3 separate regions of the Mus musculus genome follow, and regions 1 and 2 are each reported to be linked to region 3. The links are microRNA targets in miRTarBase. Many come from high-throughput screens and were not tested one by one. Region 3 holds a microRNA gene; each other region holds the end of a gene's coding sequence.

Region 1 (4,188 bases), not on the chromosome of region 3:
TGTGTGTGTGTGTGTGTGTGTGTGTGTGTGTGCCCACCCTGGGAGCGCGCGCGCGCGCGCACACACACACACACACACACACTCCTCTTAAGCACCCTCTGGCCAGTTTCAGAAAGCCAAAAGTCTAAGCGAGGGAGAGCAGGAAACCCAGAAAGACTATGACCCTCAATCCAGATAGCAGAAAGGCGGAAGCCACGGAACACCAGGCAATAGAACTGCTCATCCATTCTTGCTTTAAATTAAGGCCATCTCTCCAAAAAGCCAGGCCGTTCTAGGCAACCTCTCAATGTGGAAGTGGACAACGAAGACTTTAAAATAGATCTCTCAGATCTGAGAAGTGGGTGTATAGATGGTCATGACATTGGAACAATGACCACGTATTGTCTACTGCTGAAATGACACTCCGAAAATGACATGCAAGAGTCATTAGGCAACGGAGGTGACTAGGAATCCCTCATCATAAAGTTAGACCTCTTCCTGAAGAAATTCTATACACTTTGATTTGACAACATAGAAAGAGTCTGTGTCTCTTCCTGGGCTATATTTCTAGAAAGAAAGACTAAGACTGGAAAGTTGTGAGCAGAGAGAACCTTTGAAGACCGGGGGGGGGGGGGGGGGGGCGGAGAAGACGTTTGGTGGGTAAGAGCCGCCGAGATAGAATGTGACTCTGAAGTAGAAACCTTACCAGGGACAACCTAGGAATCACAATCCAGCCCAGTAGATGCAGTACGGAGACAAGGAAAGCATGGATCTCTTAAAGTCTCCAGAGACTCACTTTTCCCTGACGCCGTCATTGGCCTCAGATGATGCCTGCGGAGTCCTTTGGGGAGAATCAGCCTTGGGGGTTCATTTCTGGGCTCAACTCTAAGGGATTCTGCAGTAAAATGTAATTGTCTCCGGGCGCAGACACCTGGGAGAAGAGCTCATTCTGTCTACTTAAGAGTTTGTGGTTTTGACTCAAAATAAGATGTGAAAATAAAATGCAGTCGCTGGTCTGATCTTAAAAATGCACACATACACTAGAAAATTGGACATGTCCTGTTTGATACCCTATATGACCGATTCCCTTTACCCCTCAGAGAGAAACCCATTCAGTAAAAATAGCTTTAAACTACCACAGGGGACTTTCCTTGTCTCTTTTTGCCAACCATAAAACAATTGTTTTGACAGGGTAAGGAGTGAGACCAGGTAAACTGGCGGCAGGATACTCTTCTGACAGCCATTTTTTTAAATGAAGACCTTTTTTGTTTGTTTGTTTCTTTGTTTGTAAATTTCGGTGACCCCCAAACTATCTGTAATTAGCCAGGGTCATGAAGCAGGATCAACCCATCTTAAATCTCTCCTTAAATTCAGCCCCAGGCAGAACTGGACTACCATCTGCCCAAGGATACCTGGTTGAAAGCCAGATCAGCTGAGAACTCGGGCCCCTTCCTCCACGGAAAGTTGATTCTGAATGGAATACGAGAGCCTCATGTTAAAATTTGCTTAAACTAGATCCAAGACTGGACAAGGATCTTTTTTTTAATCTGAAATAATTAGAAGGTGGAAAGTTTCTAAAAGTTCAAAGCACACCTCATCACTCCCCACCAGAGGAGGGGAAAAAAGAAATGTCTCTCCAGAGCTCTAGTGGGAAGGCTGACTCAGAACTCCAGCAGAAGGCCTGGAGTGCTCGGTCCCACACTCATAGAAGCATGCACAGGAATTGAAAAGAGCAAAGATAAAGTAAAAGAGAATTCAAATCTGCCTTTCTGAATCTCCAAGCACAAACTTCGGAATGCTGTTCCCCTCCCCCCCCCCCCAACTTCACAAGATTCCCAACTTGGAAAAGTTCAGATTGTTGGTCTCCTAAGCTGCACTTAACTCAAAACTTACAAGAGTAAGATATTCTAAGTTGATTCTGATAAATGTAGGTCAGCAGACTGGAAAATTCAGGCAAAGTAAAAAAAAAAAACAAACAAAAAAAAAAAAAAAAAAAAAAAACACTGCATGAATTCTCTGGATAATTAGTTTAGTGACACCCTTCCCTTTGCCACAATGGATCTAGGCTGTCAGTCTGAAATTCAGATGTCCTGTAAGTGACCTCCCCAAATCAGTCTCCACTTTCGCCTCTTTCTTGTACCTGTTGTTTAGTAATCATTTTCCTGGCCCAGAAATAAGACAGAGTTCTGTTCATTTACGTGGTTTATTGTTGTAAACATTAAAATTGTCTTTCTTAAAGAAAGAATTTATCAGGAAAAAAAAATCAGCATCTCTAACTGTCGTACACCATAGAAAAAAAGGCAGTGACTCATCTCATGTGCCGTACTAGAAATATACAAAGAAAATACTACAGAATATGGCAATATTAAAATTCTTACTCAAACATAAAATAATATATTGACTGACAATTTTAGACATAAAAAACAAAAACAAAAAAATTCAAAGTGCTCAGTAATTTCCAGGGAGTTATGTATATTATAAGCACTCTGGAAACAGTCAAAAGCTGCTGCATGCAAGTTTTGTTTAGCTTTAGACAACAAAATAATCAAGATATAAACTTTCTTTTATCAACATCAACGGTACATACAACACTTACAAACAAGGAATGTTGGGCGGTGTTACAAACACTATGTGTCCCTTTTGTCAGGATTTTCCAATGTACTGATACTTGTGCCCACCTATTATACAATTGAGAAAAATGTTTAAGCTCAGATAACTACCAATCTTTATAAAATCTAACAGACTACATAGTGTCTGAAATACTATTTATATAATATAGACATTACTGAAGTAGCAAGTGCCTATAACATCTTCAACCTAGAATCACATGCTTGTCCCCTTTTTATGTAGTTATTTTCTTTTTTTTTTTTTGCAAACACACTTACTTTTTAGAATTTGTAATATTTATTCATAAATAGGCACAAAATAATTTAAAAAGCCAAACTGCATTGGATAAATTTACAAGCCTCTGCCTTCAATTCATGCCACCCACGCAACATTTAGTTTTACTATATATTACAGCTTTCTTTACAGCAGAAAACTTTGAAGTCTTGTTAAAGGGCAAAATAGGAGGGTCCCATTAAGGTGTGTGTGTGTGTGTGTGTGTGTGTGTGTGTGTGTGTGTGTTACATTTGTCTTAACTGCAACAAGCAAGCATGGCCAAACATTTCCCATCATACATTAGCAATCTTTCTTCTGAACAACAAACTGATTTTGAACTGATAATAAAAAGTTTATACCACTGTACTGTGTGCTGTCCGTTTTCTAAATCCAGGATGCCCCGGAGCCAAAATGCCCTTTCAGGTTCTGCCTGCAGGTTAGGAAATAGCGACAGTTTTTATTTGTGGTTTGTTTGTTTGTTTGTTTACTTAAGGGGTGAGGGCTAGGGGTCTACAGAAGGGAGATAAGGTGAACTGGACACTTCAACCAGCTCTCTGCCCATGTGACCAGCCCCCTCTGGATGTTATTTTTTTTTTCTTTCCAGTTCTTTGACGTGCTTGGGAGAAGGTCTTAGAAAGGTAAGGTGTCCAGGAAAAGTTTGTCAATTATTGCTGGTGGTGGTACCAAGTCTTCCAATTTCAGGTAGAAAATGCGCTGGAGGCCCTGTGTGCAAAGGGTGCGGAGTTCTGGCAGCTTCCCCAACAGTTTAGACAGGTAGTTGGGTCGGTTCAAACCCCCATTATTGAAAGTCACATGGTCTTTAAGACAATTTACAATTTTGTTTTGTAGCTCTTCCACTCTCTTGGGTTCCTTGAGCCCGTGTCTCTCTGCAGAAAATGCAACCAGAAACAAAAGAATGCAGAGGGGAGTTAGTCAGATGGCAGAATCAGAAAGAATCTGCGATTAGGGAAAGCCATGACCGGTCCCACCAGAGGAAGTTCGGAAGGGGAAGTGTCCTGCACCAGCAGTACTGACCTGTGACCATAGCCAGGGCAGCAATGCAGGAGAAGGCAGAAATGTCGATGTTCATATTCTGCAAGTTGGAGGAGAATTCAACAATGGAATCAATCCATTCCCCAAAGCCACGCACGCATTGCAACCTGTGCAAGACCACCCCATTGCAAAAGATGAGTTTACCCTCCACTGGGTTGGACCTGCAATTAATACCAAAGAGAGAGGGGAGAAAAAGAGAGAGAGAGAAGCTAAACAACTAATTACTTGAAGAGCAATAAATGAGGGATTTAAGAGGCACCTAATTACTGAAGAGTT
Region 2 (4,152 bases), not on the chromosome of region 3:
TGTGTATGTGGCAGCCAGAGGCCAACCTCAGGTGCCTTTCCTCAGGAGTTGAGCACCTTAGATTTGAGACTCACCAGCTTAGCAGGTGTGGCTGGCCAATGGGCCCCAGGGATCTGCCTGATCCTACCTCTCTAGGGCATTTATTTTAGCTAGGACCACCAGAAGGGGCTTTTTATGTGTTCTCTGGGGCTGGAAAGGGCATTATTCAAGTCTTTCCAAAATGTGCTAGATCTAAGAATGTACATCACCCCAGCCCTAGTCAGGTGTGATCTCCCCAGTGGCCCCCGGGCCCCAAGATAGCTGCTTATTCATTGTGCTTTCCCCCTCCCAACAGGTATGCTCATTTATTTTGGGTATGGCATCTGGAACAGCACCTTGGAAATCAGCGCCCGAGAGCAAGCCCTGCATCAGAGCACGTACCAGCGCTACGATGTGGATGATCCCTTTTCTGTGGAGGAGGGGTTCTCCTACGCCACCGAGGGCGAGAGCCAGGAGGACTGGGGTGGGCCCGCCGAGGACAAAGGCTTCTATTACCAACAGATGTCAGATGCGAAGGCAAACAGCCGGACGAGTAGCAAAGCGAAAAGCAAAAGCAAACACAAACAGAACTCGGAGGCCCTGATTGCAAATGACGAGTTAGATTGCTCTCCGGAGTAAGACTAACCGCGCAGGAGCCTAGAGAGGGTGGTTTCTTAGTACATCAGCCTATGTGCTAGAAGGTGGAAACTTCTTCCAACTCTCATTTCACAAACCCAGCCTTTCCCCAAGGTCCATCCCCAGGCATAACCTGTCATTTGCTACTTTTGCTCTTCAGGGGAATTCTGTTGAAGGGTTTTACCCAGGGCCCTTAACTAGCCCTCTTGTTAAACAAACAAACAAACAAAAATCAAACTCAAAAGACTACATGAAATTCTGTTAGTGAGATGCCCAGCCGATGGCAGCAAATGTTTGCTTTGCAGGATGGATCTTTGTGCTTCTTACAGAGATGGAGGAAGCTTCCTCCATCCCACCTGAGAACACAGCCCCGGGGGAAGGAGCCACAAAGGTGGCGGCAGTGCAGTGTGAGGCAGCTGTCAGCCCATCCAGAGCAGCGCTGTGAGCTCCTCCCCCAGGTCAGTAGGTCAGGCTGTTTCAGGACTTTCTCTGTCAGCAACACTGTGTCCTTACATCTCACCTCACCTTCTCACTAAACTTCCCACTAACCGTGGAGCAGACCCACGGTTCCTCACTCACCAAAGTTCTTACAGTTTCCAGACTATAATTTTAGGATCCAGAAAGGACTCGGAGAACGCATCCCCCACAAAGCACCCATGCAGACACAGTAGTATAGTTAGACCCACCATCAGAGCTTGAGGAAAAAAAAAAAGGTAAAAGCTTAGATAGCAATCTCTTACAGAGGTCAGAAAAGCATTGGCAGACATGAACTGTCTGTCATGCATTCCCTTATACCAGACCTTGAGCTCCTGCCACGATGGTGAAAGGGCAGAGGTGGGCTGTGACGCCATGCCTCTGATATGCCTGGAATAAGTAGGCTATTTGTTTTACAATCTGATAAAAAGTCTTTTCGAGGAGAAGTAACTCTGCCACTGAGATCACATTACAAATCTTACTTCATATTTCTAAAATTATAAACTCTGCAGAGGGTTTTTTTTTTTTTAATTTTTCAAGCTAGGCAACCACTTGGCTGGCTGCTGCTGTTGAAAACGGTGGTGCAGAAGGCCAGGGACTTAGGTCAATGAGCTCAGAGAGATCACACTCCCACACGGACCTCATGCTTCGGAAGAGCTCGCTTTTAGAGTATTTTTTCCTGTTCCTTCCCAAAGTACTTTCACAGAGCCCCAGAGAAATGCTACCTGGTGACATTTAAGTGTAGGCCACCGGAGGAATGCTTAAAAGAATTTTCCCAAAACAGGACAGATGAATCTGTGACAGGAAAAGCCTGTGAGTTATATCCCCCCAGCAGCCATGGATCCCATGGCTTCAACAGCGGGTGTACTTGTGTATGAAGACAATTTTCCTCACACTAAGATTTTTGTGAGAATTTTCTGGAAGTAGGGCAAAGACCAAACCCCCTCTTTATCATCTGCCAAAAATTCTCCTGAGAATCAACAAACATTCTCCTTTCTTAAAGTCTGAAGCTGATGTCTTCTTGGCATGCACTAGAGTTACAGAGAAAAGGTGCGCTTCCTGTTGCGCTAACTCGCTGAAATACACCAGTGGCTAAGTGGCAGGCATGAGGAGACCTGTAACTTCCTCCCTTGGAGCTTACAGTACAGGGAGGTGCAGTTTTGGAGCCCCATGACCAATGCAAGAGGCATACCAGAAAAATATCAGTTGAAATTATTTTTTAAGACAATGCATAATAAATTGCATACCATGCCCCTAGCTAGTCTATGCCATTGCAATCAAATAATTACAGTTTTTAGATCACTTCATATTAATTACATAGAACCCAGTATATTCATGGTATCATTTTTATGTAAAGTCTGACAAAACTGTGTATCCTCTTTCTTAAACTTAACCACCATGATCCAGTGTCTGGCCTGCGACAAATCACCCTGGAAAATTCACTGTCAAATTGATCTCATGATGTTAAAACCTAAGTTTTAAACTGGTTTAGGAGCAAGAAATCTGCCTGGTTAAATTGCATCTATTAAGCTGAAGTCGTGGGTAACCTTCTCTCCCTTAGGTGTGTTTAGAAGAAATATGGATACAAAGTGACAGATTTTCATGTGAGTAGAAAGTTTCCTTTTACTGCTGGTGTTTAGGTATAAAAGTAGCAATGGTCTGGTGGCAGCTGTGTGCATCTTCTGTAGCCTAAGAGAGTGAGCATGGGTTATATTAGTTAATGCTATTGGTGTTGATTCTGTGCAGAGCCAAGGAATTGATCTCATTTCATAAGCCATTTGTCTCCGTTGGTAGCTTTGGATGTCTTTGCTCTCTTTATTTTTCTAACATTGTTGGGGTCATCTTCTTAGCTATCTTGGTTTTTTAAACATTGTTTGGAAAGTTTTCTCAGGTACATAGCAAGGTTCATTGTGTTTCTCAGCTCTTATGGAAGAGTCCCAGGTTTCACAAGGCAACTTTCAAATACCATCAACCACAGAAATGACAATATCAGCTAACATATCTGAATACTGTATTTGTGAGGTTTCATTAAAAGAAGGGTCCCTTTATAAATATTTATCTTAGGAAATCTCTTCTGGTGGGTTTCAGTGTGTGTGAAGCCGATAATTTAATATCTTTGAATTCTATTTATTTATCAATACTCTGCATCATTTCAGAAAGATTGGAGGCAGCTATTAAAATGCATGTGCTCGGGCTGGTGAGATGGCTCAGTGGGTAAGAGCACCCGACTGCTCTTCCGAAGGTCTGGAGTTCAAATCCCAGCAACCACATGGTGGCTCACAACCACCCATAATGAGATCTGATGCCCTCTTCTGGTGTGTCTGAAGACAGCTACAGTGTACTTACGTATAATAAATAAGTAAATAAATCTTAAAAAAAAAATGCATGTGCTCCAAAACAAAAGGGGTGAGCACAACTGAAACAGAAGAGAGGGTAACACTAAGCCAGAAGTGTGTATAGTGCACAGGTGCAGAACTTTCAAGGGCTTGGCTACATTTTCCGATGAAGGGTGTCTTAGTCAGGGTTTCTATTCCTGCACAAACATCATGACCAAGAAGCAAGTTGGGGAGGAAAGGGTTTATTCAGCTTACACTTCCACATTGCTGTTCATCACCAAGGAAGTCAGGACTGGAACTCAAGCAGGTCAGGAAGCAGGAGCTGATGCAGAGGCCATGGAGGGATGTGCCTTACTGGCATCTTGGAAAATAATAGACTTGTCAGTAATGACAACCAGTACTGCTACATGATTAAAATAAGCCCTTCCCCCATAAGGGCACAGACCTCTAAAGTCCACAGAGAAGCGTCAAGCCTAAGTTGCACAGCCACATGCGCCTGCTGGGTAGTGGCTATCAAGAAATAACAGCGAGGTGGTGGTGGCACACACCTTTAACCCCAGCACTCAAAGGCAGAGGCAGGCAGATCTCTGAGTTTGAGGCTAGCCTGATCCACAGAGGGAGTTCCGAGACAGACAGGGATACACAGAGAAATTCTGTCTTGGAAGAAAAAAAGAAATAATCTTGTGAT
Region 3 (4,188 bases):
GTGGCTTATGCGTGTAATCTCAGAATTCCTGAAGTAGAGGCAGGGGGATCAGCAGTTCTATACACTGAATGAGTTTGGGGCTAGCCTGGTCTACATGTGTCTCTGTTTCTAAAATGAAAGGACAAAAGGGAAAATAAGGGGGAGGGGAGGGCAGACAAAGAGGCAGGGGACGACCCAAATGGTATGTCACCAAATGACTCCCAAAGATCTCCACTCCCTCTGCTTCCCCAGAAAGCAAAAGCAATGGAGGCAAAAGGGCTTTGGGCACAGCTGACCCTGGGGAAGGCTCCTAGCAACCCAGCTAGGCTGTGTCCACCACTCCTAGCTACTTACTGAAATGTCCCTTGGTCAACTTCAGTGCCACCTCTCCCAGGGTCCATGGGAGCTGTGGGGGAATGTCCTGGAGAAGACATTCTGACTCAAGAGAGTCCTGTATTCAGATCTCCTGGTAAAAGGGCTGTGGAAAGTGTCTGAGGAGTCCAGACAGAGGGAAGATGGTAATTGGCTGGGGAGTGCCTGAAGGCAGAAGTTTCCTGGCCTTAACAACAAATCAAAGAAGCTTTTCCCACTGCCCCTGCACCTCACCCCTAACTTCAGGGAGCTAGATTCCTATTGGGAGGCCTAGGAGCAAAGGGGTTTCTAAAAATGGAGGCGCACTTTTTTTTTCTGTTCTCTCCAGCCCTGAGGAAAGGCTGCCTACCCTCTTCAGAAAACCCTGAAGGTATGTATCATCCATCACCAAGGCCACCGCAGTCACCACGAAGCAAAGGTTATCTGGGGACCCTGGGGGAGGGGGGTGTCTTAGCAAGAGCAGGGTGAGTAGGTGGTTTGGGGGTCAGGGGTGTTCTGTTCACCCCGAAGTTCCCACACAAGCCGTGGCCACAGAAGATGGTCACCACGTGTCATCTTTTGTCTGTAGTCACATGCAAAGTCATCGGCAGGTTCTAGGGACCCCAAATCATAATATATGAACCCTGGCCTCAGGGAACTGGAGAGGAAAGCTGGGGTGACCCAGAGATAAACCGCTCCAAGGCCACAGAGGATGAGGTAGGTTGCAAGCCACTCAAGCAGTGTTCAACGGCGGCCTTGATCCGGGGGTTGAGGGAAGCCAGCAGACTCCCTTTCCTTACGAAGGAAAGTGGCCATAGTTGAAAAGGATACCCCAAGAGCTAGGGAGAAACAGGAGTGCAAAGGATGGGCGAGCCCATAAAGGAGATGTCCTGAGAACTAAAGAAGAGACAGTTTCTCACTAGCAGTCATTTGTGCTGCGTGCATAAAGAGACGGATGGGGGGCGGGGCACAAACAGGGGAGCCACAGGTTGAGCAGGCAGGCCCTGGGTTCCATCTTTAGCACTGAAAAAAAAAAAATTAACTGCATGCTTGAAATGGGTGGGTCTATCACAAGAAAGCTAACTTAAAACGACAAAAGGACAAGAAAGTGGAAATTTCAGTCCCAGAGGGCTCCAGGGTAAGCCAAGACCCGGATAGGAGGCAGACCACTGCGCATGCTCACACTCCTCCTGCCCAAGAAGAAAGCCGCGCGGCCTGCGTGCGGAGCGCCTGTCTCCCAGCCTGAGGTGCAGTGCTGCATCTCTGGTCAGTTGGGAGTCTGAGATGAAGCACTGTAGCTCAGGAAGGGAGAAGATGTCCTGCAGCCGTCACCGGGACGTGGTAAGTGTTGGCATGGGATAGCGGACTAGATAGGTTGTCCCTAGATTCTGCTCCAGCAGCTTGTGGCGATGTTCCTGGGCTCAAGCTGTACCAGGGCCGATCACTCTTGTGCCCTCTACAACAGTAAGCTCTGGTCCATTCAGGGGCTGCCAGCACCAACACCCTGCCTCTACTTCCTCAGCCTAGAGAAGACACTGCTAACAAAGACGCTACATCTACCCATTCTGGGGAGGTTCCAACACACCCTCGGAACCCTTCTCAACACTGCATAGTGAATAGCCATTGTATATGGTTCTGCGTTGAAACCCCTTCGTCTCTGTAAATCAGACAGTCCTTAACAATCCTTAGCCCCAGTAGAGGCTCAGGATCCCGGCAACCCAACGATACGACACTGTCACGTTGCAACCACGAAATGCCAGACATTAGGCCTGAGGTCACAGTCTTCACTTTTTGAGCTCTACCCTGCCTCTGTGCTACTGCCTGAGCCAGGCTGGCATCTCACAAATGTCTGCCCTTGTCCCAGAGGCTTCAGAGAGGCAAGGGGCAACAGAGGAGAGTCACTGGGGTATATCCATTTGTTGCTAACCTCCCAAGCCTGGTCTGAGGAAGGCGACCCACTTCCTAGAGGAGAGTAGAAGAGAACAAACCCCACCCTGGTCTTGGTTACTCTCAGCTGTAGTAACAGCAGAGACAGAACCACACACTCCTGCATGCCAGAAGAGGGCATCAGACCCCTTTATAGATGATTCTGAGCCACCAGGTGGCTGCTGGGACTTGAACTCAGGACCTCTGGAAGAGCAGCCAGTGCCCTTAATCGCTGAGCCATCTCACCAGCCCCTGACCATTCATACATATTTCTAAGCGTCCATGGCTTCGCTGCCTTCATGCTGGCTCCTGACCCATCCAGTGGGTCCTATTTGATGCCACTTTACAATCGTACGAGGATCAGAGGCCAAGTGACCTGCTGGAGGACCGCAGCGAGAAGGTCACTAGAGCCTGGGAACGGACTTTTAATAATCACTGGCCAGAGTCCCCGTGGACCATGGCGGGGGGAGGGAGGCAGGGAGGACTGGTCCCAAATGCTTCCTGACCTTAGGGAAGGTACTTTCCAAGCCACTCAAAGCTCTAGTTGCTCTTCCCAGAGCAGGACGCTGCATCCCGGGAAGGAGGGTGTATACAGCGCCCCACGGTGGATGCCGAGAGAACTGCTGGTCCCTAGGGGCGTGGCACGTGCTGAAGGCATCTCTCTCTCTCCCACCTTGTCCTCACGGTCCAGTTTTCCCAGGAATCCCTTGGATGCTAAGATGGGGATTCCTGGAAATACTGTTCTTGAGGTCATGGCTTAGCAGCTGGATCTGTCTCCCTCCCACCCTGGCATTTCCTTCCGGGGAGTAGGGAGGAGGAGGCGGTTCGTCGGAGGTAAGCGGTCTTGGGAGCTCTCTTCTGACCTTTGTATAGCTTTTCTTTCCGCCCTGTCCATATTTCCTAACATCCCCAGGAGGGAGGCTGGATGTGGGAAGCTCAGAACTGCCTCACTCTTGAGAAACTCGTCTCAAGACACAGTGGTTGAAAACCAGACTATGAGACGGCTCCCCTCCACTCTGACCCTCCACATGCCTTCCCTGTAGACCTTGTGGTGAGGAGGGGCCACAGACCCACATCCACACTATTAAGAAAGTCATTCGTACATTTATTTTTAAAGTTTATTAAATCAGCTAGGTAAACTAAAAGCCATTCATCTCCGTTGGATTTGGAGGGCAGCCACAGGGAAACGAGTTTTCAAGGTAGAAAATACAAGACTTGGAGCGCCCCTAGTGGTGGCTCTTCCCACTGCAGGAGCACCTTGTGATCCCTGCGCACAACCACAGACGTGCTTAATCCTTCCTTGTTCTTGCCAGAGATGCTTCCCGGCTTACAGTCGGCTTTTCCTTAGGCCCAAACAAGAGCCAGGTCGCCTAGAAAGCAAAAGGCAGAGCCAGGGTTGATTTCAAGCGTGGAATTGAATGTCTGAGACAAAAGAAAAAGTAGAGGCAGGAACTACTTATAGCTCCCGGCCCCCCAACTCTTGGGAGTTCTTCCTTGTTTTTTCCTTAGTAAATCTTTGCTCACTGTGCTAAAAACAAACAAACAAATTTTAAAAATAAAAAAATAAACCACATGCCTTTAAGCTCAGCTTCGGGAGGCAGAGGCAGGGATAGAAATCCAGCAATAAAATGGAACTTGGGTTGGAAGGATGAGACGGCGCTTATCAGCAAAGATGCTGGCCACCAATCTGAGGACTTGAGTAGAATTCCCAGAACCCTCGTGGTGGGAAGAGAAAAGTGACTCCTGAAATGTGTCCTCTGACCTCCACATGCGTACGTGCACACACATACAATAAAAAGAAATAAATGTGAAAGGGAAACTAGAACTTAGGTGCTGGGGGCTCATCTGTAAAGCTCTGAGTTCGGATGTCCAGTGCCTGTGTAGAAAGCCAGCCGTGGGGGGGGTCACCTTTAGCATCCTAGTGCTGGTAGG

What was found. Region 3 holds the annotated microRNA mmu-miR-145a-5p (GUCCAGUUUUCCCAGGAAUCCCU, at 2,942-2,964, shown strand). A microRNA usually pairs through its seed, bases 2 to 8, with sites in the 3' UTR of a target mRNA and lowers its output. Matches are read on the target gene's strand: a 7mer-m8 pairs with bases 2 to 8, a 7mer-A1 pairs with bases 2 to 7 and ends in A, and an 8mer does both.
Region 1: the mRNA of Nr4a2 is a reported target of mmu-miR-145a-5p. Seed matches in the 3' UTR shown: 8mer at 3,458-3,465.
Region 2: the mRNA of Slc7a14 is a reported target of mmu-miR-145a-5p. Seed matches in the 3' UTR shown: 7mer-A1 at 3,756-3,762.

Annotation. Positions count from the first base shown.
Region 1 is chr2:57,104,667-57,108,854 of GRCm38, forward strand. Nr4a2 (nuclear receptor subfamily 4, group A, member 2) reads right to left here. Exons shown (of 8, transcript NM_013613.2): 7 at 3,895-4,073; 8 at 2,560-3,746. The coding sequence ends at 3,490. Among named protein-coding and RNA genes, the nearest start is that of Nr4a2, 8.3 kb to the right of the region's middle.
Region 2 is chr3:31,205,581-31,209,732 of GRCm38, reverse strand. Slc7a14 (solute carrier family 7 (cationic amino acid transporter, y+ system), member 14) reads left to right here. Exons shown (of 8, transcript NM_172861.3): 8 at 335-4,152. The coding sequence ends at 657. Among named protein-coding and RNA genes, the nearest start is that of Gm33834, 25 kb to the left of the region's middle.
Region 3 is chr18:61,646,642-61,650,829 of GRCm38, reverse strand. It overlaps Mir145a (microRNA 145a), which reads left to right and starts at 2,936; the gene lies at 2,936-3,005. Bvht (braveheart long non-coding RNA) reads right to left here. Exons shown (of 3, transcript NR_045420.2): 3 at 3,345-3,626. It overlaps Carmn (cardiac mesoderm enhancer-associated non-coding RNA), which reads left to right. Exons shown (of 5, transcript NR_045402.1): 4 at 680-923. Mir143 (microRNA 143) reads left to right here and starts at 1,572; the gene lies at 1,572-1,634.